Linked DNA regions of Drosophila melanogaster. The protein of the gene in region 2 interacts with the protein of the main gene of each other region in a pairwise test. Each region holds a gene or a part of one and is shown on either strand. Other genes may lie near its edges. The genes, in order: CG43107, CG30472 and CG14511.

What was found.
Region 1: the proteins of CG30472 (region 2) and CG43107 interact in a two-hybrid assay, tested with the Drosophila melanogaster proteins (one large-scale study listed by BioGRID).
Region 3: the proteins of CG30472 (region 2) and CG14511 interact in a two-hybrid assay, tested with the Drosophila melanogaster proteins (one large-scale study listed by BioGRID).

The regions. Positions count from the first base shown.
Region 1 is NT_033778.4:17,135,384-17,145,861, reverse strand, and holds CG43107 (uncharacterized protein), read left to right. Parts: upstream 1-4,996; 5' UTR 4,997-5,040; coding exon 5,041-5,232; 3' UTR 5,233-5,367; downstream 5,368-10,478. Other genes in the region: CG43103 (uncharacterized protein), read left to right, coding at 5,990-6,223; Gbp2 (Growth-blocking peptide 2), read right to left, coding at 7,123-8,371, 8,449-8,570; Gbp1 (Growth-blocking peptide 1), read right to left, coding at 9,008-9,364.
Region 2 is NT_033778.4:15,418,465-15,429,592, forward strand, and holds CG30472 (uncharacterized protein), read right to left. Parts: upstream 5,676-11,128; 5' UTR 5,592-5,675; coding exon 5,220-5,591; intron 5,161-5,219; coding exon 5,037-5,160; intron 4,980-5,036; coding exon 4,837-4,979; 3' UTR 4,721-4,836; downstream 1-4,720. Other genes in the region: Stacl (Stac-like), read left to right, coding at 887-1,087, 2,212-2,320, 2,387-2,492, 3,063-3,179, 3,478-3,723, 4,253-4,432, 4,506-4,631, 5,795-5,941; CG34188 (uncharacterized protein), read right to left, coding at 8,769-8,884, 8,959-9,082, 9,136-9,510.
Region 3 is NT_033777.3:29,141,460-29,152,431, forward strand, and holds CG14511 (uncharacterized protein), read right to left. Parts: upstream 5,435-10,972; 5' UTR 5,343-5,434; coding exon 4,374-5,342; 3' UTR 4,219-4,373; downstream 1-4,218. Other genes in the region: superdeath (suppressor of ER stress-induced death), read left to right, coding at 751-1,606, 1,670-2,386, 2,450-3,113, 3,173-3,378, 3,445-3,753, 3,814-4,039; CG11882 (uncharacterized protein), read right to left, coding at 5,734-6,421, 6,492-6,595; Pglym78 (phosphoglyceromutase 78), read left to right, coding at 6,991-7,093, 7,550-8,047, 8,110-8,276; eIF2D (eukaryotic translation initiation factor 2D), read right to left, coding at 8,481-9,772, 9,831-10,230; Slbp (Stem-loop binding protein), read right to left, coding at 10,789-10,972.

The DNA.
Region 1 (10,478 bases), 1.7 Mb from region 2:
CAAACATATTTAAATTTATTTGCATAAAAGGGGGCACCACTCAGAATTCGCTCTATCCGTTTCTACCGAGCGATCATCGAAGCCCTGCGTCCCGAACGATGCGAGGCACCACAAAGAACACTGGGCAAATCCTCACGCTGCCGAATAGAACGATTCAACTCATCAACGCGGGTGCACTTGGCTTTCAGCTAGTGTGAAAGTATGTGAAGACTGACTACAGAAATGATCCTGTGAAGTATAGTCTTAAGTTTTTGCTGCCCAACCTGTGGATCTTGGTGCGCTGCGGGCCAGAACTAGTTGAGAATCACAAGAGTGTGCGCATGAACAAAATGAACAGCACGTGGGGGGACAGGCGAAAGATGTATTAGTGCGTTGATATTATAGGGTGGGAATAGGTTCTGGTTAATTTCTTGAGTGTCTTACAACTGTTGTTGGAACTGATCGGAAAAATACAAAGTAAATTGTAAACAAAAAAAAACTTGGCAGCGGTGGGATTCGAACCCACGCCTCCGAGGAGACTGGTGCCTTAAACCAGCGCCTTAGACCGCTCGGCCACGCTACCATGTTGTAGATTATGTCAAACGCTCAACAAGAGACGAGGCTAGGAAGCAACAGAGGCGTTCTAACAAGTTGTGCGCACATATGAAGTATCTGAGTCTGCATGTTTGAACTATTTTTATGGACGCAACACCTTGTCTTTATTTTCCCACCCACACCGCTCCGCATATAAATGCTCTCATTTGGAAAAAAGGAATGTCAATCAAACGAAATCAATTTCTGGCGCAAGCCTTACTCCTTCGCCGCTCTGCTGCATTAAAATGTTTATTATATGTATTTTGCAAAACTGTCAGCGTTTTTTCCTGGCAGCGTCAGCTTAGAAATGCGTTTAAAATTCAAATGAAAATGCGAATTTATGCGTGACAGGCGGTGGTCGTGGTCTCTTCGCTCACACATGCAACCGCAGCAACAATTTCTGGTCTTGGGCTGACTGGCGGCGTCCCGTTGTTGCAGCCATAAACTGAAGCCGGCATCGGAGTTGGGCAAAAGACTCAGCAATGAAATTAGAAAATTGCAATAAAAATCTTTGCACGGCACGGGCACGAGAAGCAAAACAAAATAAAGTCTGCGGTTTCCATAAGGGTGCTACCCATAGCCGAAATAAGGGGTTGTGAGGCAGCATTTGCGGTTTCATTAAAATGCCACCGAAAAAGGGAGCAAAAAGTCGGAAGCCGCGTCAGCAATGGGAATATTTTGCCACACACGTGGATTTGTATATGAATTTAAAAAGGAGCGACATGGAAATAATTATAAAATAGTTAAATTTCCACGCCAGACAACTGTTGGGAAAATACAAAAAATCACGTACAATCCGCGTGGACAGAGGCGAGTCATCTGAATCCGGCCAGGTAAAACGCTAATGGAGTTAATTGAGGGCATTATCAAGAATGTTGGGCAGCTGGTATGTTGGAATCAAATTAAATTTCAAACAATTGACAAATTGAAATTCCACCGACGGAAACTGAACAATAGAAGCATTCCAAGCGCTTTAGAAGAGGTTAGACGGATGTCCACTTAATATGCTCGCCATCAAGGAGCAGTAAATGAAATGAATGACTAGACAAAATAGTTTTGTCAAGACCGCAGAGCTGCGAAATCACTTGGGTCAGTAAGAAGTAGTTGTGGGAGAAATATCTCCAAAGAAATGCTGGAATAGCACAATTTCAAAGTATAATTTTCGGCCAGACGTTTGAAAACAAATCAGCTATTACATTCTCGTTTTGTCTCTTGATGTGCGTTTGACATAGACTACAACACGGTAGCGTGGCCGAGCGGTCTAAGGCGCTGGTTTAAGGCACCAGTCTCCTCGGAGGCGTGGGTTCGAATCCCACCGCTGCCAAGTTTTTTTTATTTACAATTTCTTTTATATTTTTCCGATCAGTTCCAACAACAGTTGTAAGACACTCAAGAAATTAACCAGAACCTATTCCCACCCTATAATATCAACGCACTAATACATCTTTCGCCTGTCCCCCCACGTGCTGTTCATTTTGTTCATGCGCACACTCTTGTGATTCTCAACTAGTTCTGGCCCGCAGCGCACCAAGATCCACAGGTTGGGCAGCAAAAACTTAAGACTATACTTCACAGGATCATTTCTGTAGTCAGTCTTCACATACTTTCACACTAGCTGAAAGCCAAGTGCACCCGCGTTGATGAGTTGAATCGTTCTATTCGGCAGCGTGAGGATTTGCCCAGTGTTCTTTGTGGTGCCTCGCATCGTTCGGGACGCAGGGCTTCGATGATCGCTCGGTAGAAACGGATAGAGCGAATTCTGAGTGGTGCCCCCTTTTATGCGAATTAATTTAAGTATATCTCATTATTGTGCTTATGTTCTTTATAGTATTTAAATTGTTTTCGGATTTAGTCTCCATGTTCATGTGACATAATTTTACCTTGTGCACTCCTACTTAAAGAACGTTTTATACTGCTATAATTGAATATGCAGCGCAGTAAACCCTTCGGTCCCCTGGCAGTAATAATATTGTTCTTTCCGACCGCTCTAAACACTGTTGCTGCTGTTGCTCTGCAAAGCAATTAAAACAGCACTTGAGGGGCGACCCTTTTGCCGGTACGCTTGTTGCCAGTTTCAAGTGTTTTTGTTGCACGTTGACAGTCCGTTAAAGGTGACACAGGCGCCACCCCACGAGAATTACATATAAAACATTTTAGTGGGAAGCAGAGTTCCGCTTTTTGTTGCTTCAAGTGCGCTTCGTGCTTAAGACTTGGCAGTGAGTGGTCGAAAAAACTGTAAATTTGTATTAAAATTTTCGCTAATGGTTGTGGGGGCGTTGGAGCTCTAATTACTCAACGCTGCATATGAATGGTCCTCGAGCGAGGGCGTGATTTTTGGCTTAATTCAGAGCTGCAACGATCTCAATTAGTGGATGATGACTACTTGCAAGTGCCATCAAGTAGGTCCTTGGCGAACTTTTCCGAGTTCGTGTTTTGGTTGGCAAACTGCTCCACTTCGCCGAGATGCCCCCAATCCTATACGTAAGACTATAGTGCATAAATATTTGAGTAGCTTGTCTGTTGCACGCAACAACAATTATGTGTTGCCTAGTTTTTGTCAACTGTCCCATTTGGTTCTGCTCTGGGGCCTCGTTTTTTGCCAATTCTGTTGCCAAAGACGAAACAACACGTAGTGAAAATTTATTTAAGCAATGCAAAGCAAATACGAGTGCCAGTTTGGGTACAGTGCGTTTCATGACAGGCAAGTTATACATATGTGGTGACCCGGAGATCAATAGGAATTGAAGGGAAGGTATTTATTACTTTAGAATTGATGAATTATTAACATTAACTGTAAATATCTTGACTAAAGGTAATTCTGCGCATAGAATAACATTGTGAAACACAGTGTACCTCTTTTGGTTCACTTACAAATGTCGTATTTTTTGAGTGCTTACATAAAAACACATTTGAAATGCGGTTAACGGAAGGCAAAGGAAGTCGAAGGGAAATGGAAAATGGAGCCGAGGGAAAAAGAGAAGCAAGCACAGCACAGTCGAGGCAGCGCCACCTAGGGGCCCGAATTGACATCATTATCGTCATCCCCGGGCCAATCGATGATGATGATGATGATGCTGCCACTGATGGCAATGCGGCTGATGCCGTAATTGATGCCTTTGCGACATGCTTTCCCAAAGTGTTTACGTTGGGAATTACCCATGTGTGTCACTCGGTTGTATGTGCATGTGTTGGTAAGGGGTGTGTGTGAGCAGGGGCATGGGACCACGCCCCCAGCTAGTTGACAGCCAGCCGTTTACGTGCACTTAATGAAATGTGCCCCAAAATGGAAGCACGTACCGGGCATCTATTTAATGAGCCCAGCAAGAGGTTCTTCCTGCGCAGAAATTTCGAGAGGGGTCGACTGCAAATGGCTGGGTGGAATTTCTAGAATATCTAGTGTTTGAGAGTGGGCAGAGCTCATGAAATTTTTAAATGTCGCAGCTTAAATTCAATTTAATTTAGCTGCAATGGCTGCATTATTCAATGGCACTCACACGTAAGCGGCTCAAGAAAGTCCCCCAAAAACCTCCTAACACCATCGAAAACCTCAGACCAAAAGCACCAGCTCCAACCGCAGTTTAAAATTCATGTGAGCTTTTCAACAATTTTCCCAAACAAAATGCGATTAAATGTGCGGAAAATGCTGAGCTCTTGTTCTCGGTTTTCCCATGTTGTTGCTGGATAAGCCACAATGGGTTAAGGCAATGTCTTGTTTGCACATGTGTCGCTAGGGGGCGCCACCCCGTAGACCTCCGCACGTCGCTTCAAAAGTCGGATATGTCGGAAAAGTCGGAAAAGGAGTTAAAGCGCACACAGCACACACACATGCCGAAGGTGCAAAAATGCGTTAAACATAACATGCTAATTCCTGGTGCCTCCAGCTTCAATCTTTCACCTGCCCAGGTGAAATTCCCACACCCACTTATATACATTTATATGTATGTATGTATGCAGGAGCTGCCATCCTTGGGCCCTCGGAGATCGTCCTGCGGCAGGACTCGTTAGCTATGTAATACGAGCGTTTTGTGTGCCATTTGAGACCGAAGTTCTTCTCTATTTCCTGCCATTTGCCTTTGTGCTATGTGTTGGTTTTTATTCCCTGCCAGAAGGTATTTTCATTTGGCTTTCGGCAGTTATGGTAGTTAAGGCTTTTCTGTTTGAAACAATTCTATTCTTTTAACAACTATTCTATTTTGAAGAAAGTTAAGCTTAATTGTTTTTTTATATAATCGGGTATTATTGTCATGGATCTTATGTTTAATTTTCTTTCTTCTGCATTTTGACTTAGCTTATGAATTCACTTCGAATTCACTAAATATAATTTGGAACTGATTCATTCCATCGATCGTAAGTTTCGTAGCCCTGAAAATATATATTTTTTAAGCTTTTGAGAGCTTTTCCCCTCTCTTATTTATTTACGTGCAATCAGTTGATTCTTGCTTGCCGCCAGTTTAGAGTGTTTTTGTTATGAACAGTTCCAAAAACGATGTCCGTTCTTCCTTTAAATACGGGCCAGCTGTCCGGATCGGAATCGCCGTCCTGGTGCTCCACACCGTCGGCTGGCTGGGTTGGAAGGCGGTGAACCAGGGTGCGGAATCCAAGGAGGCAGCAGCGAAGGCCCAGCAAGAACAATTGCGAGCGGTATTCGCAGAAAAGTGATATAACTATGGATGATAACACCATACTGGTTAGCAAACCACCACGGACTGAGTGCATTTTAGATAGTTATTGTTAGAACCCTAGACAACTAAGTGTATTAAAAGAAATAAAAGGAATTGTTTGCTTGTTTGTTTTAAAGATTTTATTTTAAGCTTACCGTTGCTAAAAGCTTTTTATACCCTTGCAAAAGGTATATTGATTTCCGTCAGTATGTAAATAATCGAAAAATATAAGGAAACAAATTAGTTTCAGTTATACCATTTTGAATTTAATTTGATAACAATCGGTCGAATACAAAATAACACATATAGCTGCGTAGTCTGGCAGGTTTTGATCATAAAATAATCGTATTCGTATTATGCTGCAATTGGTAATTTATTAAAACGGTCACAAAAACATATGTGTACATTTTCGCAGTGTGACTTATTTTGACTTGACTTGCTTATATATGCTTATGCTTATATTGTGCTTAACATGGGTTACTTTTAAAAATACAAGTTTCTCCGCATATGTATGTACTGATGGCTAACCAATATTTACTGGTCAAGTTAATACATTTGGTAAATTTTAAGTATTGTCTTTTAAAAACGATCAGAGAGAGTGGCTTTGGCTTTCGCAATCTCTCCGAAAGCCCTCCAGATAAAAGCTTTGCCAGCTTTAGACTGAGAAATCAGCAACATATAAGCCAAGCTAGATTCAGTAACGCAGTTCCCAAGCCGGAGGCTAGTAGTCGAGTCACCTGGAGAAAACCGCGAAGATGCTATCAAGATCCGTGCTGATCGTAGTAGGCCTACTAATGCTGAGCTGGCAGTGGACGATGGCCATGCCGCCCCTTCCGAAGAACCAACCCAGCGGAGTATCTATTAGTCAGCCCGATATACCGGGAGCCTCGGATATTTTGGTGCAGAGCATCTTCAACATCGATCCATCGCTGTGTCCCAAGGGGTACATACGCACGGGTCCACATCACACGTGTCGTAGGATAGCCTAGGAAGACAAGCTCTGAAGATCGATTTAAAGTTCAATATCAGAACGTGCTACAAGCTGTGTTTTTATTGATACTTAAATAAATTCTATATAAATACTTGCAATTCTCACATACATATTTAAAAAATACGACACATTCGGTTTATATAAGTACAGGTTCATTAAAGTTAATCAACTGATTGTTGGCACTGATGAAATATTGTTTAATAACATTGTTATATTTTATCTGTTTACGCTGGTTTTCGGCATCGATCTAGGTACAGTTGAAAACCAGGCGAGCATTTCTTTTCCACTTGAAGAAGTAGTTGTATCGCCGTCCAAGTGATCAGATATAGCCATCTTTTAAGTTGGAGCGCCATTTCCATACAATGCACTTCGTACAACAATCGCTTCAAAACTAATGTTCTACGGCGATCAAAAAAGTTAGCTTTTATGTAGGGATTTTCCCTGTTATGTGTGTGCTCTTCAAGATATTGATAAAAATGCGCATTCCATTTATTTGATTAGTCAATGTAACCAATTACACACAGCTTTGTAATTATACAACTGTAATTCAATATTGTAGAGATAACGTTTTCTAAATTGATATATTTCAAGAAAAATGATAACGTATTGCAGCTTAATTGCATTCAGCTGATTAATACAATTTGTGATGTTCAAAAGCTGTTACAGTGGTATACGTAAGCTACTACGAAGTCATTTTTTTACCGAAGAGCATGCTGAGGTAATCTCTGGGAAATTTGTACTTCCAATCTTGCATAAACAACCTTATCAGTTGAATAAAATGCCCCAAAAATTGTATGTCTCAATTATTACACATAATGACAGATTTAATGACACAATGAAATATGTATTGTGAACATGAAACAGTATTAATCAGAATTTCATTTGAATCCGAATTCCCTAGGCTTCCTTCCTGCAACGTCCTGCCATGAGCTTGAGTCCTTCTGCACACTTGGGATCCAGGTTGAAGAGACTGCGCTGATTTACCGACTCTGGACTTGCTTCCTCAGCATCCGACTTGGGATCTCGGTTGGCTCCAGGCGCTGTGCTCAATTCTGGTGACAGAAAATCATGGGTGTTGAAGAGGTCGTTGATGTTTTGGTCAACATTGTCAGAAGATTGAGCTCGCCCTGGAATAGGTTGGATCACAGAAGACTGCGGATGCCCGGGAATCGGTTGAATTGTCTGCGCTCCGCCAGATCCCGCAGTTTCGTAATCCTGGCCGGGTCGAGGCTGCAAAGTCTTGGGGGACTGGAAATTGAAGTCGGAAAAGTCTTCATCTGCGCTTCCGGGACGCGGTTGTATGGAATTATTAGAAGTACCAGGTTTCCGTCCCTGGTTTAGACCTGGTTGTTGAAACTCTCCAGAATTCTGGTCTGGTTGTTGGAATCCTCCAGAACTCTGGTCTGGCTGCCGGAATCCTCCAGTACTCTGGCCTGGCTGTTGGAATCCTCCAGTACTCTGGCCTGGCTGTTGGAATCCCCCAGTACTCTGGCCTGGCTGTTGGAATCCCCCAGAACTCTGGCCTGGTTGCTGGAATCCTCCAGTACTCTGGCCTGGCTGTTGGAATCCTCCAGAATTTTGGCTTGGTTGCCGGAACCCCCCATTATTTTGGCCTGACTGTTGGAATCCGCCAGCATTTTCATTTGGCTGTTCGAATCCACCAGGGTTTTGGCCAGGTCGAGGCTGTAGGGTATTTGGATCACCACCCGGCTGCTGGGGTTCCAATCCTCGAGGGTAGGTGGGTAGCTCCTCATGGCTGCCAGATTGTTGATGTCCTGGCGCCCTTCCAGATGGTTGTGGTCTATTGAATTCATTTCCTGGCTGCTGAAAACCTGGTTGGCCCCTGTTGAAATCTCCACCCGGTTGCTGGAGGCCTGGATGTCCCCTGTTAAAATCACCTACAGGGTAGGGATATTCCTGTTGTCCTCTATGAAAACCACCTCCATGTTGGTGAAATTGACTGCCAGGTTGTCCTTGAACTGCACCGACGTTCGGATAATACGGTTGACGACCTCCTGATGGTTGATTATCTGGATAATACGAAGGAGGCGGTGGAAAACGACCGAAGACAAAGGGAGGTGGTCCAATGGATCCTGGGCCATATCCTGACCCATGTACGTGATGACCATGGTGGCGATGATGGTTCCTTAATAGAAAAAAAGTATTAGTGATACAAATATTATAAAATCATAACAATCTTATTAATTAATTTTAAATACTCACGGATATCCATGTCCGCCGTTTTCCACGTAGTAAGGATTCTGGGGACGAGCTGAAGTCCATTGTCCACTGATTAAAAGGATCAGTGACATAGCCAACCTTATAGATAAGAGTTGCAAAAACATTTTCGACACGAAATCGACCCAACGGCAGCGTTGAATATTCAAAACAGACTGAGCAGCGCTGTCGAGTCGAGAACAGACGATCTAACCGAGTTTAGTATTTATTATGAGCCGCTGATAAGCCAAGTTCATGACAGCAGATAAGGCATCAAATTACATAGCAGAAGAGTAGGGAATAACTGATGCAGCTGAATGCACCGGGAATTGTTTGAGTTAGACACTGACTCACAGTGATGGCCACCAAACTAAAATTACTGCGTTTTACACGACGCTAAGTTTCCCCCAATAGCGTTTCTCCCACAATTGTGATTTGGGTTTTCTATGGGTATTTTTGTCTGCCTCCGAATCGTTTATAATAGTCACCGAAAAAACCATTAATCAATCAAAAGTTCTACACAAATATCACTTTATTGGCTAACATCAATCTTAGCGACTACAGATTACGCCGGCTTTCTGCATCGTTTTCCGAACAGCTCAAAGCCAGGCTTACATTTTTGGGTCGTCTCCAGCAATATTCGGTTGTCTATAACTGGCAGCACAGTGGTGTTTTCATTAACCAGCTCCTCCGATCCGCTGGTGATCTGTTCTGTGCTGTTTGTACTTTCCAAACGGAGTGCTATTGTGGATGCGGGTTCCTCAGTTGTCGTTGTGGTCGAGTATGTGAATCTCGAGCTGGTATCGTCGTCATCCTTTGGAAAAACGATGCGATCGTTACCACTGGGCCGTGTTCTCGCCTCGGTGAGGAGGAAGACCAGCGGTAGGATGCACAGCACCAATGGATTAATACGTATCAACATTATCTCCGAGATGCACGCTCGTTTGCTACGATGAAGCTTCGATGACTGAGCGCGGAAACAACTGGCTGGCCATTTACATTCAGATTTTCATTCCCAGCGAAACCAGATAAATGATGGGAGCAAATCGTTGGGAGACAACAATAAGAATGGCAAGGGAGCTCATAAGCTCTCCCATGAAAACAAAACGTAAACAAAGCAGAAGAGTAGCGTTAAGCTTTTCAGATATATCTCAGCTAGTCTACACTGACAGAACTGAATTATCATAAAGCTTTTTTTTAATGAAATATGTTGGTGCCCAGCTATTTCGAACGTTTTTTTTTTTTTTTGTTGATTTGCAATGCAATAATTTACACTCAATACTTTTGAATTTATTTCTTACATTTTTGTCAATTAATTCTCACTTCTTTCCACTTTTATGGCTCTAATCTAGGCAATTTTCCGGCAACGATCTTTTACTGTCAGAGTAGTGCCGTTTGGACAAATTCGCGTTGTTTCCAGGACAATTCTAGGCTCAATACCCAAACTAGTGGAATCGCTAGCAATGGTTGGTTTCGTATTATCTGACTCTGAGGGAAACGCAAACTGATCGCTAGACACTCGAGCTGCACGATTTGTATCCAATGCCAGACACAGCCAGACAAACAAAAATAGCATCTTCGGCCAGGGAAGACGCCGCGTAATTGCCATCGTAAAGTTGGTTTTGTTTATTTGCAATCGACAGAGTCTCTGAAGTCTCAGTTTCCGGCTCTGTCTCACTTTCTGATTCAGATTCGGATTCACTTCGAGAGGATAACTTTAAAAGGAAGCTCAAGTAAACACATTCACTTCATTCAATATCGCACTAAGTTCTAAATCTGTGGAGGTTCAATTTTTAAGAATTTATAGCAGTTTCTAAGACCCTAAGATATTCATCCCGTCGTAGATACTATAAAATATTATTTAAAAATTATTCTAAGTGTGATTCAGTTTTTCAGCACCTTATTATAGAGCGAATCACTTGGAATGGTTATAGTTGAAAATGGGAAAAGCTTACCCATTCAAATAAGTTTGTATGCAGAGATATTCATTATATCCGTTTCCCGTATAGAATATTTGATTCGTTGAAACACTTACT
Region 2 (11,128 bases):
CGAATGTGTTCTAACGAAATCTCGACTCTCGGCGCGGCAATGAAATTACGCTTCATTTATTGATTGAATTTTAAATGAGGGGACTTCCATCTTCCCTGGCTTTTACTTTGGCGCCAAACATCAGAGCAAAAAGGAACTAAAGACCAGCAAGTCAGAGGAACCTACATACAGTAAAGCTTAAAGATATAGGACTAAAAAGCATCACAGCTAATTTTTATTAGTGTTAAATCGAGATGGTATACTTCTATCTTTAAGTAAAACCTTTTTGAGAACCATTGCTTGATAAATACAAAATTAAAGTTTTATTCTTAAATTACCAATAACTAACCAAATCATTTATTAGAGCTTAGTATTCAAGGGGGTGAACCACCATTTTGCCCGCTGTTGTTTGAGTCCTTTTGTTGACTTTGGTAATGGGGCTCGGGTTTAAGGAGCTGTCTTGGACTGAAATACTCGAATTTCCGTCTTGGTGCAAGGCGAAAATAGGAGCGATAGAAAAAGTGAAAGGCCGTGGGGGGCAAATGGGGAGCTGCCTTCACTCATTATTTATGCATAAATACAAAAGGCAGCGATCTGTTTGATTGGCCAGGGGTTTGGGGGAATGGAGGGCCGACTTGTGTATTTACTATGGCGTGGCCAAAATAATTCCTGACATTGCCTGACGGATACTTTACTCCCACCACCCGAAATCAAATCACATTTCGTTTGGAAATTCTCATTTGTTTGCTTTCAATTCGGTTCGTTTTGTTTGGAATTTATGCTGCGTTCTGTTTGTTTTCCTTATTTAATTGTTTGGTTTTACGAGTTGATTAATTTTTGGTTTGAGTAAAAAATGGATTACATTTGTTGTAAGTCCAGTGAGTGATAACGATATTGTCGTCGGCAGGTTCTTCGGTAAAATCTTCAAGTGGTCGAAGAAGTCGTAGGAGGAGGATCTTTGGGTGGAGGGGACCACGAGGTGGTTCCCTTAGCCCCCAGGGCGGCAGCATGGCGTCCTACAACGGCGTGCTCAAGGATTACAGTCACAGCAGTTTGAACGAGGCATTCAAATCACAGAACAATGTCAACTTTAAGTTAATTAAAACAGGTGAGTTAAACCAGAAGCCAATATATTTCCAACTCCTATCCCATTCCGACACATGGGAGTACACGTGACGTGTGCCAGACTTTCACACCTGACACGCTCGCCAGGTGGCACAAAAAAGTGACAAACAGCGGGCGTTGGTTGCGCCCTGAAAGGGAAAACGAAAAGCAATTTATGTGGCAGCATTTTATTTGATAAGTTTCCGTAGTCGCTTTTATGGCTTATTGATTTCGATTGCCGATTGTCTTTGTCGGTTCGTCAGATTGAGACATAAATCAGTTCAGGCAGAGGCTCTTCAGCCAGCAAAGCCTCGTAAATTCGCTATTCCAACTATGAGTATGTTTACCCAACGAACAACATCCCCTGACACAGCTGCAACTTTTCGACATAACTTTGACTTTGAATTACGGCGCTGTCGGAGAAAGTTGTCCCAGCGGATGGCACCTTTGGCACTGGCGAACATCAGAGTTTCCAGTAGTTCTGTGTAGCCTGTAAAGTTTTTAATAACATTTTTGCTGTGAACTGCATGTGAAATCAGAGAAGTTGGAATAAAAAATTATTGATTAAATTAAAGTTGCCTACAACAGTGTCAGAAACTTTTCAGTTTCAACACATTTGACAACCTGTTGCCGTGACGCTATAATCGCGTATCTGGCAGGCCATAAAACGATTGGGCCATAAACTGGCAGCTTAAGTGGCTAAAAGCCAAACATCCATATTCATATATGCCTGAGTAATCGTAAATGTGATGGATTATCCAACAGACAGTCAATCCTTTTAAAGAGGCTGACTTTTTGTGCTTTACTGCGCATAAACTGGCTACTTTTGTTACAGGCAAACCAAAGTATGGGAAATGTGAAAAAATCACACTCGTAAAAAGTTTTTAAAACATTTAAATGTTTCAAAAGTAAATAAATAAATACATTTTATTGTCTAAGGTATTTTTTGTTCACTGCCTTGGGAGAAAAGCACAAAGACTTTAGCCGGAAGTGCCCACCTCTCCCCTGTTGGCATATCCGTTTCCGGTGCTTTCAGTGTGTCTAATGCACTTTGTGGCTCGTCATAAAGCGTGACTGCCTCTTAGTTTTATTTGACCTTAAAGCTCACTCAACCTAATTCAATTACAGTATCCGATTTCTCCGAAACACTATCCCGTCTGTACGAGGAACACGCAACTGCCCTCCAAGTTGCGGTGTCCAATTATCGCAAGAAGAATGCCGAATTACGCAAAGAAAGGTAAGTGGCCCAAACGATTTTCCCAGCCAAATTCAGTTGCCAAAAACCCAACCGAGTGGCGTGCAGACCCGCCTGCCACTTGGCCATCTTTCAGGCATGGGAAACATTCCTGCAGGAGGTCGAAACCGATTCACAGGCCTGCAACGACGTGGCCAGCGTCCTTTCCCGCCAGGTGAGAGTCCCTTAAATTACGGTTTTCGTCGAGAAAGTTGCCGAAACCGAAATGGGTTAATGGCATTATCGTGTCGCGTTAAATATTCAGTTACCTTCACTGAAAATAGAACTTTACGGACGACTGTTGTGCACTTGCCCTAAAATATTTTTAATTAACTTAATGCGGGAATTCATTGATTTACTTTCCCTTTGAAACAATAGCCAGATTTATACTAATAATAATATATGATAATTTTTATTTGTACCAGTTACCACATCGATCGGATGTGCTAGCCATATGTGTGTTTTTGGGGCCTTGAGGCAGCACAAAAAAAAATCCCAATTTGCATTATAAAAGGCAGACTCTAATTATGGTTAATTAGTGGGGGCGTGGCGCTGCGGGGCCTTGGGAAATGACATATGTTTTTCGAGTGCCGAATAATGTTGTTTTGCCGCGGCGTTTGCTTTGTTTTACTTGGCTTACACATTTAATTTTCATTTTTCACGATGATTTGCCCTTTTTTCATTCGTAAAACTGGCAGGGGACTGAAAGATATGCCATACATAATTTATTTACCCACTTCTTTAGGTGTCGCGACCAATGCTGGATAAATCCTTTCATCGCAAAGTTCAAAGCCGTAAAATATTTACACACAGGGAGTCTTTTGAGACTATTATCGCAAAGACTGAAGAGAAGCTGTCAAAGGTGAGTTTAATTAACAAAAAAGCGTTGAGTCCTCAAGGTTTTGAAGTCCCAAAAGTAATCTTACCGAACAGGCCTTTAAGATGCCTTAAAACTCTGTTCAAGCAGAAAATATCGCATACGCAGTGTGGGCCGGTCCAATTGCCCGTCAAATGCTCTGTCCATTGTGCGTGTGCCAATTTACCCTTTTCTGTGATTACCCATAAATTGACCACCCAACCCTTGTGAACCTTTACCCCCTCCCTTTTGTTGGTTGCCGTTGCCATTGCCATTGCCATTGCCATTCTCTCCCCATCCACAGTGCCGTGTGGACTACAAGCAGTGCCACCTGGCCCACCGACAGAATCCCAGCCAGCACTCGCTCACCGAATACATCGACGCCCATAATGCGTACGTGCAGCAGCTGCATGCCACAAATGGAATGCTGGAGGCCTACCACACGGACACCCTGCCCCAGCAGATGCAGGAGCTGGAGGAGATCCACAACGACCTGGTCGCCATTGTGTCCGACTCGCTGATGCAGGGCGCAGAAGTAATTGCCGGCAAGGTGAGTGCCCCGCCGACCAGTGATTTATCACTGCAGCAGGTGGTTGTCGCACCCCATAAACATGGTATAGTGTGATAGTGGTAGTTGCCCGCCCAGTGGCACCTCGAATTCGAGTTAATTTCTGCAGCACCTTTTGTTTCCTGGACAGTAATTTGTACCCGATTATTATAATTGCGCGGTGTAGCAATTTGCCCTGGTAATTTGCCTAATGCGTGGGCAGGTCCTGCCTGATGATTGCGACACTTTTTTTTACCGGTGTAGGGTATGAGGAAATGGAAAAAAACATATATGAATTGGTAGGTAGCTCGATGAAAAAATATACAACAATAAATACTGGAATAAAATTCAAACAAAGAAGAATATAGAAGGGCTTAAGGATCTAGATAACTATAAAATTTAAGGGTATTGGAACTGCACAATTTAATATGAAAGTAAAGATAAAGATAAGTTAAGTCTCCATGCAACTGCAGTTTAAGGGAAACCAAAACATCTGTGTCAATAATGTGTCCAAATCATAATTTTTCCGCAGGCCAATGACCAAGCTAAGCGGTACAACAGTCTGAGCAACCAGTGCGCAGCTGTCTCACCTCAACAGGATCTAGTGAACTTCGTCCGGCTCCTGGCCCAACCATCGCAGGCCCAGAAGATTCCCAGACGGCTCTTTGCATCGCCGCAAGCAGAGGTCGGCGAGGAGGCGGGCGACCACAACGTGAGTAGTAGTGCATATAACACCTGTCCGGCGGACTAAAGTGATTGTTTTTGTGGGCACCTGTCCGCCGCAGGAGATGACGCCCTGCCTGCGGAACGAGTTGGTCTTCGACCGGCACTCCACACTGTCACAACGCTCCGCGTTGGAGTCGCTGAAGCGGGAGGCCATCGAATTGGAATTGCAAATACGTCAGCTGCAGGTGAGATGAATAATCCACAATAATACACAAAATGATAAAAGCTCACAGTACGATATCGCAGCCATGTCGGTACTTAAAAAAAATGGTTTGTTATGTTTCCAAAGATTTTATTTGAATGGGTGGCCAATATCACAATTGTTTTTTTTTTCTGTTATCCTTTAACTTTCACAAAAAACTATGTAAAGTCATACAATTAAAAAACCGCTTATATCTGTTCGGTATTCTCGATAGAACTGCACTCTTTGCCATCTGAAGTGTGCATTTCGGTGTATGAGTTACACTCATCTTGCTTGTCTTGGAATTTACAAATTAAAGATGCGACTATCAATGTGAAATAGCCCTCCAGAGCTGTTAGAGGTTATATTGTTTATTTTTTTTGCAATGACTTCACGTTTTGGCACTTACTCAATGATGGAACTATTAGAAAAGTTTGTGCAAAATTTGGGTTCCTTAAGTTATTATTTATATTCGATATGAGAGTGGTGAATACCGTTATATAAATCCAAAGAAAGAGGCAAACCTGGTGGCCCTTGACGAAAAAGTATGGGTATTAGCCTTTATATTCGAATACCATCTGTTGACTCTCACCCATTTGCTTCCAATTAGCAACAGCAGAGAATTGAGAACAGTAACCAATCCGAGTCCCATGCAAAAACGATTACTTGTATGATAAAGCAACATTCTTTTGATTATTCCTTCCCTATCGATTTTTGTGATCCAAAAGGGATCAGGTATCATATAACTTGGCACTGATTGATTGGATAAACGATATATACTGAATATCTGTATTACGCTCACCAAAGCCTCAAAGCCCGCTATAATCCTGCATCCTTTTTCCAAATCGAAAAAGTAGAAGAAGCTCTTCAATCTTGGGAGGGCCTTACAATTGAGCCTTATGTTGTTCCAATGCTGATTTTCCGAAATGCGGCGATTTCCTTGGCAATTCTCATTAGAAGACATTTTCAGGAAATTGCTTTTAATGATAGTTAAATATATGTTATTTGGGGTATTGCCTATGAAAGCTTTTAACTAGCCTTCTTTTACAAGTAGATCTATAATATTACAAATACATTTTATTCTTAAAAATTGTAAACTTTTACAAGATCTATTACAAAAATATTTATTTAAATAATCAATTTGACTGGTTACTTTTCCTCTCGTAGGACTCCATCGAGGCTCTAAATCGAACGCAGACCCGTGGAATCGAGGGTCAGCTGTACAACAAGGTCAATGAGCTTCAAGAAGATTTGTCCATGAAGAAGTTCGACCTGCGAGCCAAGCAGATCCATTTGGCGGCCATAAGGGCTCAGGTGAGTTTCGATTTAGTCGGGGTGAAAAGCTATAAAGTTTAGCGGGAAAATATACCACGATAAAGCTGGAAAAGCAGCAAAAGAAACCACTTCGAAGTTAAGTTTATGCCATGGAAAAGCTTTCACTTAGCTTTCCACAGACCTGTTGCTGACAGCTTTTTGGGTGAACTTTTCATGGCCGAGATCTAATGAGTTCCATTAGGCGGGGTCGGGACGCCCGACACGCCCCCCGTTTGCACGCTTGAAAGTACAGATGAACTGGCGCTCGTATGTAGGTCAAACAGCTGATTGGCGACTGCGCATGTGACCCAAGCGTTTCGCCATCTCCCTCGCTTTTTGGAGCACTGAAAGCCGCCAGCAGGAGCCAACTGTGGGTCAGGTTCGTCCTTCGCCTTTCGCTTAGTCCTGCGGTAGATTAGCTTGTGCGTGGTCAGTGCGGCTGTTTGGCTTGATTTTGTCCTGCATTTGCTAGGTCCCTGTTTTTTTTTTGCGGTCCTCACAAGAGAGTTACTCAGTCAAAATTACACCGTGTGCTGTGCGATTTTCTGTGTTTTCTGGTGTGACAAACTATTACTGCGTGGGAGTTTGGGAAAAACCATCAGGCTTTTGACTGTAACCTCAACCTCTGGGCCTGCAAGTGAATCAGCTGTTGCCGAACAGGGCTCGGAAAAGTCACTTCAGAGAGAGCAAGAGAGAGACAGAGAGTGAGAGAGAGAGAGAGAGAGAGAGCGCGCGCGGAAAATTGCATGCGAAGCGTTGCCAGACATTCGAGCCATCTCCCGATGTAGCTGTTTATAAAAGCAGCGTGCAACGGTCGCTCCGAGTCAGTCACGTGCTTGCACTTCGACGTATACGTAACGCGGCTCGCCAGCTCCGCTCTTGGGTGATCCGTTCGACAAATTAGCCGTAGCCGTAGTGCCGTAGCCGTAGCCGTAGCCGTACTTCCGCAGCCGTATCCGTATCCGTAAACGCGCCGTCGTCGTCGTTTTTCGTCGCGACTGAGGTGCGATTGGCTGCCAATCGCGCAATTGGAGGGGCTAGCTAAGAAACCAATGCAAACGAAACACAAACCTTAAATCCAAATAAAATTGAAATATATTAATATATATATATCCCGAAAACAGACACCATTCATATATATATATATATCCTCCTAATATATATGCATAATTTTAGAGCGCAGTTCAGGGCAGGCTTTTCTAGGCGAGTTGTTCTCTATTTTGATAGCCACACACAAGATAAATTGAATTGAGTGCAGCGCGTAAGTAACCAAACGATGATCAAAATAGTAATGCAACCAACTAGTCGACAGTCCATGTAAAATAACTTAGCTTTATTAACCAATCACGCATACGCACCGTGCGCCCAACGAATTCGAATCAAAAAACAAATAGAAAAGAATATAAATAAACAAAAAACGAATTAATGTAGCACTGCCAGAATTACTTCAAATCTTTTGCCTGCCTTCTACAACAAATTTCTAGCCAAGTAGTCGAAATTCGTGGCCAAGCGCTTAATTTCACCAATCAGAAGCTAGTGCAAACTAATGCCAATAAAACACAACTCAATCAATCTAGCTAGCTCGTATGTACTGTAAATAACCAATACTCTTTGCTAATCTAGATGTAGTTTAACCTATTCTTACTCAGTAATTGCAACATCAACTATGTAAAAATCTATCTAGAGCTAGAGGCTCGGCTCGCTTTGCATTTTGTAATTTCGTGACCTTTGTGCCTGCACCGCACCACCCGAATGTGGGTGCAGTCGCAATAGCACCCGTACACGTACTTGTAACCACAAAATACTACCAACTACCAACCACCCACAACACACTTCGCATCCGTATCCGCATCTGAATTCGCATCCGAATCCAAATCCGAAAGCTATATCTTAATCCGACTTCGATGTCGCGAGGAGTGGAAATCCGTTTGTGAACGGCCATCACTTGAAAAATTGAAAGAGAGACTAGCGACCACGGCGACACCTCGAATTTGTTGTTTGTTAAAAACACTTTGCGTAAATAAATACCAGTAGCCGAGAGACACACGCACACACGTACACCCCCTCTCTCACAAAATATATACATAAATAAATATATATATATCTGCCACATCATGCGCGTTATCGTTCTCAAAAAGAATCGGCCCAACAAACGCGGCACGCCCACGGCAGCAGCGGCCACCTCCTCGCGAGAACCGCCCAAAAAATCGCCATACGCAAAAGTAAGAATTTGAATTTAAACTCGATACTCTCAATATTTGGTTTCAATTTTCGACGATGAAATACTCGTTATCGCGATAACGAGCGTTTCAGCCTTTTGTTTCCTGTCCAATTTGCCAGTGCAATCAATTTTTGAGATTCCTACACCCCGATATTTTATATTTTCAGTGTGCACATTTGCTGGATTTTCCCATGCAAATGTGCAAGTTTTCGCGCCGCTCGTGTATGTTTCATGATTTTGAATGCAAATGCAATTACTTAGCCACAATAAACGCATGTTTAAGTAGCAATCTGTGCATACATATGTAGCTCAAAAATTGGTTGTAGTGGCCAGGCATGTTATAACTTAACTACCAATGAAATATTTGTTTAAATTACCATATGCTTTACCATATAACTAAGCTAAAAACGCTTTTAAGTCAGCATTATATAGCATTGTTTTAGATATGAAAATGACAAAGTATTGCAGTATATTGTGTATTTTTTTCCAAATTATTATGAGTACATGCTTTTTCAATTTGGGAATGCAACAACACAAGTAAAAATTAAATAATTGTAAGTAGGAGCTTGCAAATTTAAATGTATAGTTTAATTATCTTGAATTTAATTAAACTTCCTCCATTCGTGTGAACAGCACTTCCGATTCCTGCACGTTACGACGAAGTTTTTGCTGCAATTTCAAAACCAAGGAGGCAACCACTGCGCAGAAATAGATTTCAAGAACTGAAATTTGTATTAAAACGAAAGTTAAGGGTTAAGAAGGGGTATACACATACTACTACTACTTCTTTACTCACAAATAGAAATGGTAGAAAAGAGAAAAGTCAGCAGCTCGTCATCTTGCATGATATCATTACAAGTGCTAATTAACAAGGTTATAACCGTAATACAAATCCAAAGGACGAGACAGGATATGTGACTCTGGAAAGAGTATAGTATTATGTATTATTTGAACTCGTATGAAAGCTACTTACCCATTCTGCACCTACAATAAGTAGCACTGATCTGAAGATAGTCAACGAGATTAGTGCTTTTTGGAAGAAGAGGTTAGTTTCAAACATAGGCGTTCTCATGTTGGGTCCCAGCATATCTCCGTCCGGTTCCCTAGTGACAAGCATCGAATCCGGTGACTCCGTAGTTGTGATTGTGGTCTTGACCTCCATCTCCGACAAGTAAATGCTGCACATTTGTAGCACATTTACCAATGCTTCGAATCCGGCGATCAAATTGCAGCCCGTTTTCAAGCTGAAGAAATAAAAGCAGCTATTCAGTGGCTTTATTCCATTGATATTTTCATTAAGTCGGGTCCAGTCATTGGGGGAATTCAGAAAATTTCGAATATACGCCATCCTCAACCGATTTCAATAGATTACTGAAATAAATGCCGCTAAACAATTCGTTGCCAGCCTACTAATGAACTTTTCATCGATAGCCTGTGATTGAGTTTTGGGTTTACTTCCGATTCGGTCAATCGGAGTTAAGTGCACAAGAAAATCCAATTTGATTTATACGCTGCGGCAGGGAGAGCCCCAAAGTGAAGGAAAATCTAAAACAATTCAATTTTCCAAGTGTTTCAGCCAGAAAGAGAAAAACAAAATAAAGGCAAAAGCGGACAACAAAAAATCGCTTCCATCCTGTTCCGCCAAACCCTCCGGTACTTGTTCAACTTGTTCCGCCCGATTCGATGGCACAATCAGTTGCCCATAAGCGAAATTCCTTTACTGATTTCCTTTTAAAAGCATTTTTCGAATTGTCTTGACTGCGAAGCAACCACTTGAGTCAGTCCGTTCGACTTTCGTTCCTTATTCCCTCATTTCAGTTTCATTTCGGCCCTGTTTCAAAAATGCCCGAAGCCAAGTCGTATTTCCCATTTATTTATTATTGTATGGCGTGCTGCTACTGCAATGACATTTTGCTGCGAATATCCCTTATCGGTTGCCATCCGAGCCAATATGCTTGAATTATTCCATTTGGCTCGAGAGTGGAAACTCATTCAATTAATTAATCGTATTGTGACTGGGAATTATTTTTACTGATTTAAAATGCACAAACGGGCCACCTGCAAAGCAGATTAATTTCGCAGAACTCGAGAAGAGGCTTTCGGTCCCTAGGATTTATGGTTAAGCATGTTGCCGCGCGTCGACTGAAGGTCAAAAGCTGTGCTCCTTTTGTAAAGGGTTAATTTTAAATTTATGGCCCTGCCCACACTAACTTATTCGAGTCGAATCCTTGCCCAGGGACCTACGACAAATCCGTAGGCCAATCGTGACGGAAGCACACAAATTTGCACGTTAACCGCAACCAAAGCTACAATGGTGGTGTGCGTGGGAGTGTCTCTTTCTGCGTGCGTGTGTGTGTGTGTGTGTGTGTGTGACGAGTGCTTGTGTGGGTGTAGGCTGGTGTGTGGGTGACACGGTGATATTTCTCTGGGTCCTGACACGTTATCTGGGCGACGACCGTGTTGGTTCCTACTTTATTTTATTGCTTTAATAAATATGAAATGCTCTTACTTTTTTTTCCGGACATTCGGCATAGTTTTGCTTTTTTCGCGCCACTCACCATTCCCCATTCACCACTCGCCCCTCGAGTGCCACCAATTAAGTTGCCCAAATTGTGTTCTTCTTTATGACAATCCTCTTAATCTTAATCACGCGACTTGATGTCCACAAGGAATTGATGCCCGCGCGTTGAATAGGAATATTTATACGCATGCGGTTCTATAGGTCCATGGGTCTATGGCTCTATGGGTCTATGGGTCTTTGTATTTGGAAGCATAATTTGCTCGGGCATAAATTTTAATTAATCATAAAAACGCTGGCATAAAAATGCCAACAGGTCCTGGCAGCGTTTTCTTTCTTTTGCTCAGTTCTCGCGTCTCAATCCCCTGCAGCCTTCGCCTAGCACATTCCATCCAGGAATTCATATTCATGTTTAATAATAAATCACAAGATGCCGCCGCTGTTCGCC
Region 3 (10,972 bases), on a different chromosome or scaffold from region 2:
CCATTAATATTTTCCAGTCTTAGTGGGTGTGTTTCATTTTTACAATTGAGCACGAGCACAAAAACTAGGTAGTATTCCAACCCTTTTTCATATAAACCTATTAATGACATTAATCCTTACATCAAGAACAATTGCTTCAGATTTTTCAAATACTTTACCCAACCAGAACCAAGCGCTCTTGGTTTAAGTAGCGTATAACAACGTCTTTATCGACTAAGATATTCTGCTGGATAATACATCATTTTGCTTATTACGTGAGCAATGATTTTTTGCTACTCGTTGTAAAATCATACACTTGTTTTCCCCATCGACGATGAGCTAATGAATCAGTTACGTTCTCTACGACCCCTTCTGAGCAGCAAACTAAACGGTCTCCTACTCGAAAACCGCAAGCCCTGTTCGCAAGCCCCTTCCTGTGGCTTCGCTTGTCAGCCACAAGGACATGGCTCATGCCCAATTTACGCAATTTAATCGAAACACCAGATAGCCAAAGGGGTTGGCACCGGACCAGAGAAACCACTTAAGTGGAACCCCGAGATTGCAGAATGTGCAACCTGCAGTTGGATATCATATTACTTGGGCTCATATTGAAAGCTACAGCGGAAGTGGTTGTGGAAGTGGTTGCCCAGATCCTTCTTCCTGTTTATGAATTGGGAACTGCATTTACCTTATTAGGCTACGACTTAATCTTCCGTTTTAGTTATTGGTTTATGTTCATCATTATAAAGTTTGATTCATCTTCTATTGCAGCCATCATGGTCGTTAAGGAGATACCGCTCCATGAGAATCTGAACATGGAAAGCCGACCCATGAATGCCGCTACGCCCACCACTACCACCACGTTCTCGAAAGGCGGGCGTCGCTACAGTGTGTCCCTGACCACCGCCATTCTGCTAGCCTCCTTCTTCATCTGCACCCTGCTAGCAGTGGGCTTTATTGTCTACAACTTTGCCACTTGCGCTGAACTGGAGCCCGATTCCGATGAGGATGTTGTTTGCACCAGCTACCATTTGAGGAGGCTAAAGGCTGGACATGATGACACACCTAAATACGATAGAGATGTCCGCCTGCCGCACTCCATCCGCCCGCTTAAATACAACATCACAATCGAACCGCAGCTCAGCGGCAACTTCACCTTTGCCGGTAGTGTTCAGATAAGGATAAGGGTGCTGGAGGATTGCTATAACATCACTATGCACGCTGAGGAGCTGAACATTTCGCGTAGCGACGCCTCCGTCCACCGAGTGCAGAACAATGGTGAACCGGAAGGCGACGGTCTGCGGATTCACAAACAGTACCTGGTGGGGGCCAAACAGTTCTTCGTGATCGAGCTGTATGACAAGCTGCTCAAAGATGTGGAGTACGTGGTGCATCTACGCTTTGATGGCATTATCGAGGACTATCTGCAGGGATTTTACCGCAGCTCCTACGAGGTGCACAACGAGACAAGGTGGGTAGCTTCTACCCAGTTTCAGGCCACAGATGCCCGACGAGCTTTTCCCTGTTTCGATGAGCCCGCGCTGAAGGCCAACTTTACGCTGCACATCGCTCGTCCTCGCAACATGACCACCATATCCAACATGCCCATTGTGTCCAGCAACGATCAGTGAGTATTGCCTTTGCTATCAAAGTAATCATTCTATTTAAGTGTAATCTTTGATCTTCTTAGCGCCACCATGCCAAGCTATGTGTGGGATCACTTTGCCGAATCGCTGCCCATGTCCACCTATCTGGTGGCCTATGCCATATCCGACTTTACGCACATCTCATCCGGTAACTTTGCCGTCTGGGCTCGAGCGGATGCCATCAAATCGGCCGAGTATGCCCTGTCCGTTGGTCCCAGGATTCTCACATTCCTGCAGGACTTTTTCAATGTAACGTTCCCCCTGCCGAAGATCGACATGATTGCTCTGCCAGAGTTCCAAGCGGGCGCTATGGAGAACTGGGGTCTAATTACCTTCAGGGAGACTGCAATGCTTTATGACCCAGGTGTAGCCACGGCCAATAACAAGCAACGAGTGGCCTCGGTTGTGGGTCACGAGTTAGCCCACCAGTGGTTCGGAAACCTGGTAACACCGAGCTGGTGGTCGGATATCTGGCTTAACGAGGGGTTTGCCAGTTACATGGAGTACTTGACGGCCGATGCAGTTGCGCCCGAATGGAAACAGTTGGACCAGTTTGTGGTTAATGAGCTGCAAGCAGTGTTCCAACTGGATGCCCTTTCCACATCCCATAAGATCTCGCACGAGGTGTTTAATCCGCAGGAGATTTCGGAAATCTTCGATAGAATTTCCTACGCCAAGGGTTCAACTATTATTCGCATGATGGCCCACTTCCTCACAAATCCAATTTTCCGTCGGGGTCTGAGCAAATACCTGCAGGAAATGTAAGTCCTTAGAGAATGATAACCGATTTATACTCGTATATTCTAAAATTGGGCCGCTTTCAGGGCTTACAACTCTGCAACACAGGACGATCTGTGGCATTTCCTTACCGTTGAAGCCAAATCCTCTGGGTTGCTGGACGACAGCAGAAGTGTTAAAGAGATCATGGATACGTGGACGCTGCAAACTGGCTATCCGGTGGTTAAGGTGTCAAGGCATCCCAACTCCGATGTGATTCGTCTGGAGCAGGTCCGCTTTGTGTACACCAACACCACCAGGGAGGATGAGAGTCTCCTGTGGTACATACCCATTACGTTTACCACTGACTCCGAGTTGAATTTTGCCAACACCCGTCCGACTACATGGATGCCGCGCACCAAGCTGTACGAGCTGGAGAACAGGGAACTCTCCTTGGCCAAGTGGTTCATTTTCAATGTTCAACAGACAGGTTACTACCGCGTCAACTACGATCTAGAAAACTGGATGGCGATCACAGAACACCTGATGGATGTGGACAACTTTGAGGACATTGCTCCTGCGAACCGTGCCCAGTTGATCGATGATGTGATGAATCTGGCCAGAGGTTCTTATCTGTCCTATGAAACCGCCATGAATTTGACTCGCTACCTTGGCCATGAATTGGGCCATGTGCCGTGGAAGGCGGCCATCAGCAACTTCATTTTTATCGACTCCATGTTCGTCAACTCCGGCGACTACGACCTTCTAAAGGTTTGCTTTTAACCATTGGGCGTGCTATAAATATTATTTGACATTTCTGATTCTCACAGAACTATCTGCTTAAGCAGTTGAAGAAAGTCTACGACCAGGTGGGCTTTAAGGACTCGCAGGACGAATCAGAGGACATCCTGGTGAAGCTGAAGCGTGCCGATATTCTGAGCATGGCCTGTCATTTAGGTCACCAAGAGTGCATCGCGGAGGCGAGCAGGCACTTCCAGAACTGGATGCAGACGCCGAATCCAGATTCAAATAATCCGTAAGCAATAAACGAAGTAATTAATACACTCAACACAATTCCAATAAATTATTACTTCCTTTTCAGCATTGTGCCAAATCTCAGGGGAGTCGTTTACTGCTCTGCGATACAATACGGCACCGAGTACGAATGGGACTTTGCTTTCGAGCGCTTTTTGAAGACGAACGTGCCTGGGGAGAAGGATTTGCTGTTGAATGCACTTGGCTGCTCCAAGGAGCCCTGGTTGCTTTATCGTTTCTTGCGTCGCGGCATTTCCGGACAGCATATCCGGAAACAGGACTTGTTCCGGGTATTCGCAGCAGTTTCCACCACGGTAGTGGGCCAGAACATAGCCTTTGATTTTCTGCGCAACAACTGGCAGGAGATCAAGACCTAGTAAGTGGCGAAATTGTCGCTTTATTCCGTGCATTACTAAAGGGTTTGCATTTTTTCCAGCATGGGCTCACAGATGTCCAGCATCCACACGCTGTTCAAGTTCGCCACGAAGGGCTTCAACTCCAAGTTCCAGCTGGGCGAATTTGAGAACTTCGTGAAGGACGCCCACTGGGACTACGACAGACCCGTGCAACAGATCGTGGAGCACATCGAGACCAGCGTCGACTGGATGAACAAGAACTACAAGTCGATCGTGCGGTGGCTGGAGAACGAGGCGCAAGCGTAAGGAACGGATTCTGCGGCTTGGCTGGATCAAGGCTGCAGCAGTATTAGATTTCGCAGCTGCAACTGCATGGGTTGGGCCACCAATGCATTTATGTGTAATATTTATGTCGCGTGTTTTACCAATTCAGAGTCGCCAAAGAGAGAAAGCCCTTGGCAGATCGTCCAGAGCATCACGTTTTTCATTACTTTTAATGTATGCCTTCTTTTCATAACAATTATGAGTCTTGTAATTTTAATTTGTACTTAAATGTAATTGTAAATGTAAATGGAATTATAACATTGTTCGTCACAAAAAAGTTTTGGAAAGCCTATTCCTGTTTCACAGCCTGGTTTTTTCATTTCGGAACTCTGATCACATTTGCAAACATCAAGGTGCCCACAAAGACTAGCGCGGTGCCCAGCCAGTGCCACCAGGTGAAGGGATTTCGGAAGTATACGATCGAAAAGACCAGCGAGATGAACTTGCGGAGTGTGAGGATCAGAGTCACCGTCAGCGAGCTGCACTCCGTGGTCAGGGTGTAAACGGAGCTGATGCACAAATGCTGCGCAAGCACGTTGCCCAATAAGTATAGCAGGATTAGGGGCACTGCCACGCCCAGGAGGGGCAACTGGTAGGACTCGCCCGTGAACGCCAAAAGCCAGTGCGTCCGTATGTCGTCATGCATGAGCAGGAAGGCGGGCAGCGGCAACAGGTGGGTGTAATACAACGCTTCCCTGGCGCACTTGCCATGACGTCGATACAGCAACTCCTGTGTAATTCCCATGTAGGAGGAAACAAATAGAGCCAGCACCAAGAGTGCCACGCCCAACAGCCACCAGAACGTATCCGCCTCGGCGCCACTATCCAAATTCTCCATCTTACCCACCAAATCCGGACTGGAGAAATATGTGCAGACGAAAATGCCCACGCTGATCATGAGCACCGATATGTACTGACTCAACCGGTAACTCCTCTTCAGGATCAACGTGCACAGGCACATGTTGGAGATCAGCGAACCGCCGCGTATGATCATGTGCAGTGTCATTGGAACTTTGAACTTGAACACGTAGTTGTTGCATACGCTGGTCAGGAAAAACATGGCCACGAGGAGCGCATAGTCGCGCAGGCTGATCACTCTCTGGGCCAGGCCAAACTTCGAGGTGAAGATGAAGCCCTCGAGGGCAATAAATGCAAACTGGGCGCCAGTTATAAGGTTTCCAGCGCCGGGATCCAGTTTAACCAGGAGCTCCAAGAAGACGACGCCACTGCAGCAGCCCAAGAAAACGCCGCAGATGGCCGAAATAGCGCGGATGGATAAATTCATGAACTCGCGCAACGAAAGTAGACGATTCCCACCAACTTTAACCTACGATCTGGGCCATGACGAGCTTTTAAGCCAACTTACTTTCTCTTCGGCCATACAAAACGTAAACAAATGCAACAGGTGGTTATCGATAAAGTTCGGTTCGGGCACAGCTGATGTTGGTCTATCGAAAGTGGTTGAAATTCAAATATTCCAAGCGAAAAAGAAAAAATTTATGATTTTAAGAGAAGAATATTTTATTTAATGTACATTACATTCAAAACCAAACTTAAATATGTTGCCTAATCACATTCGAAATATTCGCACCAACAGTCTTTTACAACAATTACAAAATACAATGATGACAATGCTAAGAAAGAAATTACAGATTAGCAAATTAATGGTATATTACTTATTTTTCCTTTTCCAGCAAGGCAATAATTTTGTTTAACTTTTCCGTCTGCTGGGCCTCGAAGTTGTCCAGTCTCTTAGACACTAACAGCGTCAGCTTCTCAAATCTCATGTCGATGTGCTCCTTGAGGATTGCAACATCGGTGGAAGGCGGTGCAGTCTCTTGGGTTTGGTCCTTCGCCTGCGGGGAATAGCCCTTCATCAGGCTCATGAACTGCTCGAACTTTTCGGCCTGCTCCTCCTTCTTCAAGGGACTCGTGCCACCCCTTTGCAGCAGCTCTTGGATTCGCTGCGCATCCATTGGCCTGGGCAACTGGGTGGTTATGCCGTTGGGATTCGGCGCCACCTGGAGCAGGGCTCCGTAAACGCAGATCTCGCTGGCCGAGGTGAGCATCTTCAGGTTTATGTCATTTATCCCGGATCGGTCGATTTCCATGTCATAGCGATAGGGTCGCACCGCAACCTCTGGGTCCTCATCGTCGACGCAAGTGCCGTAGATGGTCTCGCAGTACTCCTGCAAGGGTCCAATGAACAGCTCCACCTTGGGAGCGCTGCAAATCAGGGTGAGCGCGGCGATTTTGAAGCGGTTCGGGATCTGGAAGCGCAGCTCACAAGGCGGCGGCGGATCCGCCGACTGCATGGAAAACAGCACGGCGCGATTCTCGTCGATCACGTCGTCCAAGTCGGGCCTGCGGACAAAGGAGGTTTCAAAATTACTTGATAAAAACCAGTTTCGGGGCGTGGAATCCTTTGTCTCACTTCACAAAGACGTCTTCGTCGGACAAGCGGGTGGCCACCAGTTGGTCCAGCCCGTTGCCCGACAGCTGGGGCCAAGTGCAGCGCGCGGTGACCTTTTCGCACATGCTTTAAGTGACAAAAAGTTGGAATTTATGGGAGCAAAATTTAAAAACAGCCAAATTTAAAAACCAAAACACGAATATAGTGATGACAAACGCGAGCGATAACATCTGCGCGGGGGATGCCAACCTGTTGCACAGCGCAAACTAATTGGACATTTGAAGGTAGCTTGACGCGCTATTCCAATAAGACCATACTCCGGAGTCCAATCAGAGAAGGCACCGCATCTGCGCACTACGTTTTTCCAACAGAACGGCAATATCGCGGCCTGACAGCTGCGACCTTGGACGGCTCCCTTGTAGGTCAAACTTCAGCAGAATTCCCACATATTGCAGTCGCAGCAAGGCGGCAGCTTAAGAACGAGTACACAATTATCCGCAGAGTGATCAACGCAGCTAAAATGGGCGGCAAGTACAAGATCGTGATGGTGCGCCACGGCGAGTCCGAGTGGAACCAGAAGAATCAGTTCTGCGGCTGGTACGACGCCAACCTCAGCGAAAAGGGTGAGTGATTACATCAATTTGAAATTTAAACCTCATATGTGGGATTAAAAATCTGATGTACATCTAGTTTCCAATCGATGATCCTTTGCTTTGATCAGTTTCACAATAGTATTCCTTTTCATTTACCCAAATTAATCTTCATTGACCTAGTGCAACATTATCTCATTCAAACTTTTCTGTGATAAAAATAGGTCTCTACAAACAAAAGCTTTCCAGTGCAATTTTCAGAAGCATCAAAATTCTAGTTTGTTACACTTTAAAGTCAAAAATTTGCCATCTCATATGTTTCTAAAGTTCAGATTATGCTTATGAGCATAATTTGATAGGTTATCGCCTTTTTTTAACCCTAGTAATCAAATTAAATTAAACGCATGCCTTTCAATTAGATTAAATTGGCTTACGTTCGTTACCCAACACGGCGTATACTTAATGTTCGCTAAACATTTGCCCAAACAGGTCAGGAGGAGGCCCTAGCCGCCGGCAAGGCCGTCAAGGATGCCGGCCTGGAGTTCGATGTGGCCCACACCTCGGTGCTGACCCGCGCCCAGGTGACGCTGGCCAGCATCCTGAAGGCCAGTGGCCACAAGGAGATCCCCATCCAGAAGACTTGGCGCCTGAACGAGCGCCACTACGGTGGACTCACTGGCCTGAACAAGGCCGAGACCGCCGCCAAGTACGGCGAGGCCCAGGTGCAGATCTGGCGTCGCAGCTTCGACACCCCGCCACCACCGATGGAGCCGGGCCATCCGTACTACGAGAACATCGTCAAGGATCCCCGCTACGCCGAGGGTCCCAAGCCCGAGGAGTTCCCCCAGTTCGAGTCCCTCAAGCTGACCATCGAACGCACACTGCCCTACTGGAACGACGTCATCATTCCCCAGATGAAGGAGGGCAAGCGCATCCTGATCGCTGCCCACGGCAACAGCCTCCGTGGCATCGTCAAGCATTTAGACAGTGAGCATGGGAGACATAACATATATCATATCATCTTTTTACCATATCCTTGTCCAATCCAGACCTTTCTGAGGACGCCATCATGGCCCTAAATCTGCCCACGGGCATTCCGTTCGTCTACGAGCTGGACGAGAACTTCAAGCCGGTGGTGTCCATGCAGTTCCTCGGCGACGAGGAGACCGTGAAGAAGGCCATCGAGGCTGTGGCCGCCCAGGGCAAGGCCAAGTAAGCACGCAGGCCACACCTCATGAGAATCCACTCAAATACGGCACAAGTCAGAGCATTCTGATTACGCTTCTGTTCAAGATGTAGCCAATCCCATTCGTTGTTGTTGTTCGCGTAGCAGTAATTGGTTCATCCCCACTACAGTTAATAAATAATTTATTATTACACTCAAGAGGACAGGCGGAGGAGGCTTCATTTATTGTCCGGCTCACTTCTTCTTATTCTTCTTGCCGTCCTTGGCCAATTCCAGGCCCAGGATGCACTTGGGCGGCACCTTGTACGTTTCCGTGAGCAGCGTGTGCACAAATCGCACCTGGTTGCCCTGGATTTGCAGCTGCTCGTGCTTTTGGTGCGGCAGTTTCACCACACTGGTGCTGGCGGCGGCTCCCTGCTTGCACAGCTTGATGAACTCGGCCAGGATGATGCCGTACGCCTCGATGTTGCTGACCAGCGTCACCTTCTTGTTGCCCGATCGCGTGGCCAGGGACATCTGGATGAGGGGCTTCCCGCTCGTATCTTTGCCGCTGCACATCTGGTAGGAGTGCTCCATCTTGCTGGTGATGAGGGAGCACATCTCGCTTAGCGAAACCTCTCTGTTACCATACAGCTCGATCAGAGTGTCGTCGGGGCGCACCAGCTTGGTCAGCGGATGGAGGAGACCATGTTTGCTCACGTACTCCCGCACAATCTTCTTGATCTGACCCGCCGGGATTCCCTCGCCGCGCTTGTAATTCAGCTTGGTGAAGAAGGCCGCCGTAACATCGGTCACTATGTACATCTCCTTCAGCTCGGAGTGGAACAGGGGCGTCTCGGACGCCGCTCCATTAGCTTCGCTTGCCTTGACATCGGTTATAAAGTTCACCACTTCGGGGTGCTCCAGGTCCACAGATGTGATTTTATCCACTCCCTTGCTCTCCTCCCGCACCACAATGAATCCTTGGTCCACCATCTCGGCCAGAAAGTTGGAGAGCTTTTTGTAGCGCGTCTTCTTCAGGTCGATTTGCTCCGTGGCCTCCGTGACCACATAGAGTCTGTAGAAATTGCTCGTCAGCAGAGGCAGGGGCAGCTTCTTTCCATGGTTTTTCAAGGCGGAGAGGAAGGCATTCTTGAGTATAAGTTCTGGTGAGGCTTCCTCCACGGCTTCTTCGTCGGACTCGGGAGCTTCCTGGCTTTCCAAGGTCAGAGCAGCAGTTTCCGTTTCCAGTTCCTCGGTTTGGGCCACCGTAGCGAAGGTCACAGGAGCGGGAGTAGCTGGGCTGGCGGTCTTTCTCCTTTCCGTCTCAGACCCAAGAGCAGGGAAATCCTCGCCAGACAAGGCCTTTGTCTTGACCAGCGGGATTTGCTGCACCAGACTGGGCTCATGCGACCAGAGCTTGTCCCCAAAGAGGTGGAGCATCTTGATGGCCACACCGTGACCTCCGCACATGTACAGTTCATCGCTGGAGCGAGCCAACTGGCCCACGCCCACCGCAGATTTGTTGTTTGTGAGGTTTACGGCCACTGAAAAAGACAATGAGATCAATACTCGTTACCTGGGGAATCCCAAGCAGATACCCACTCAACTGTCCCTTTTTGAAGTGCCCGTACATGCTCAGTCCCACGCCCAGGGGCACCACTCCGGGCAGCATGAGATCCGCTCCGTTCGTCAGCTTGGGTAACACACCCTCGTGGGTGGTGAAATAGGGCAGGATGTCCGGAACGATCCACAGGGTGTACAGGGTGGGCACAAGTTGACCGCCGTCCAGCTCGAAGAACAAAGGCAACTTGTCCACGCAGTAGACCATGCTCTGAACACCGCCGTGCGTTAGGATCTTCACCTGGGTCACCGCCGCCTTCGCCGGCACCAGCTGATCCACGGACACATGGGGGAACGCCGCCTCCACGCGCTGCCGGAACTTCTTGCTATCGGATCCCTTGAGGGCAGCACTGCTCTTGGGTCTGTACGGCTTGAGAAACATCTGTGTTTGGTGGTGTGCACTTGAGGAGTTCGTGAAATGGTTTGGAGTGGCACATGCACAGTGAAAACAAACAACTGGCAAACGGGGGTGCTGCTTTAGCTATTTTCTCGCCAGTTTGTATATTTAAAAAAATATCAATGGGATTCGATATTCTAAAACCAAGTATAAGAAACATAAGAATAAGATGCAGAAAAAGAAATTAACATAAAATAAAGAAGTGAGTCCTGTCTTTTCTTTTCACAATAACTCTACCCTAAATCAAAATTAGTTAAGAGCAGACGTTATTACAAGGACAGCACGCGCAGTAAAAATGCCGGCGGTCCGGAAAATTTCGAATCACCAAGGACTTCCTCAGGTAGCAAACGACAGAAAACCCAGGATCTTGTAAGACGCCATTTTATTCAACAAAACATCTGCGTAACAATTCCCCGTACACGGCCTTGTGACTCGAAGATGCGTGTTTGATTCATAGTTTTAACTTTGTACTTGAAATAAAAATTAGTAGTTAAACCCCCGATATTTGAAAAACATAGCCCGGCCCGGTAACAAGATTCGATCCTAGTCAGAATCCGAGTCGGAATTACTGTCCTTGGCCGTGTCGCGCGCTTGTGTAGGTGGATCATAGATGTGGAGGCTTTTGCGCCAGATCTTCACGAGCCCATCGAAGGCGCGGCGGCTGTACTTTCCATACTTGTTCGGGGTGCGCGGATGATCGCGAGTCCGCTCGTCCTTTGGCACCATT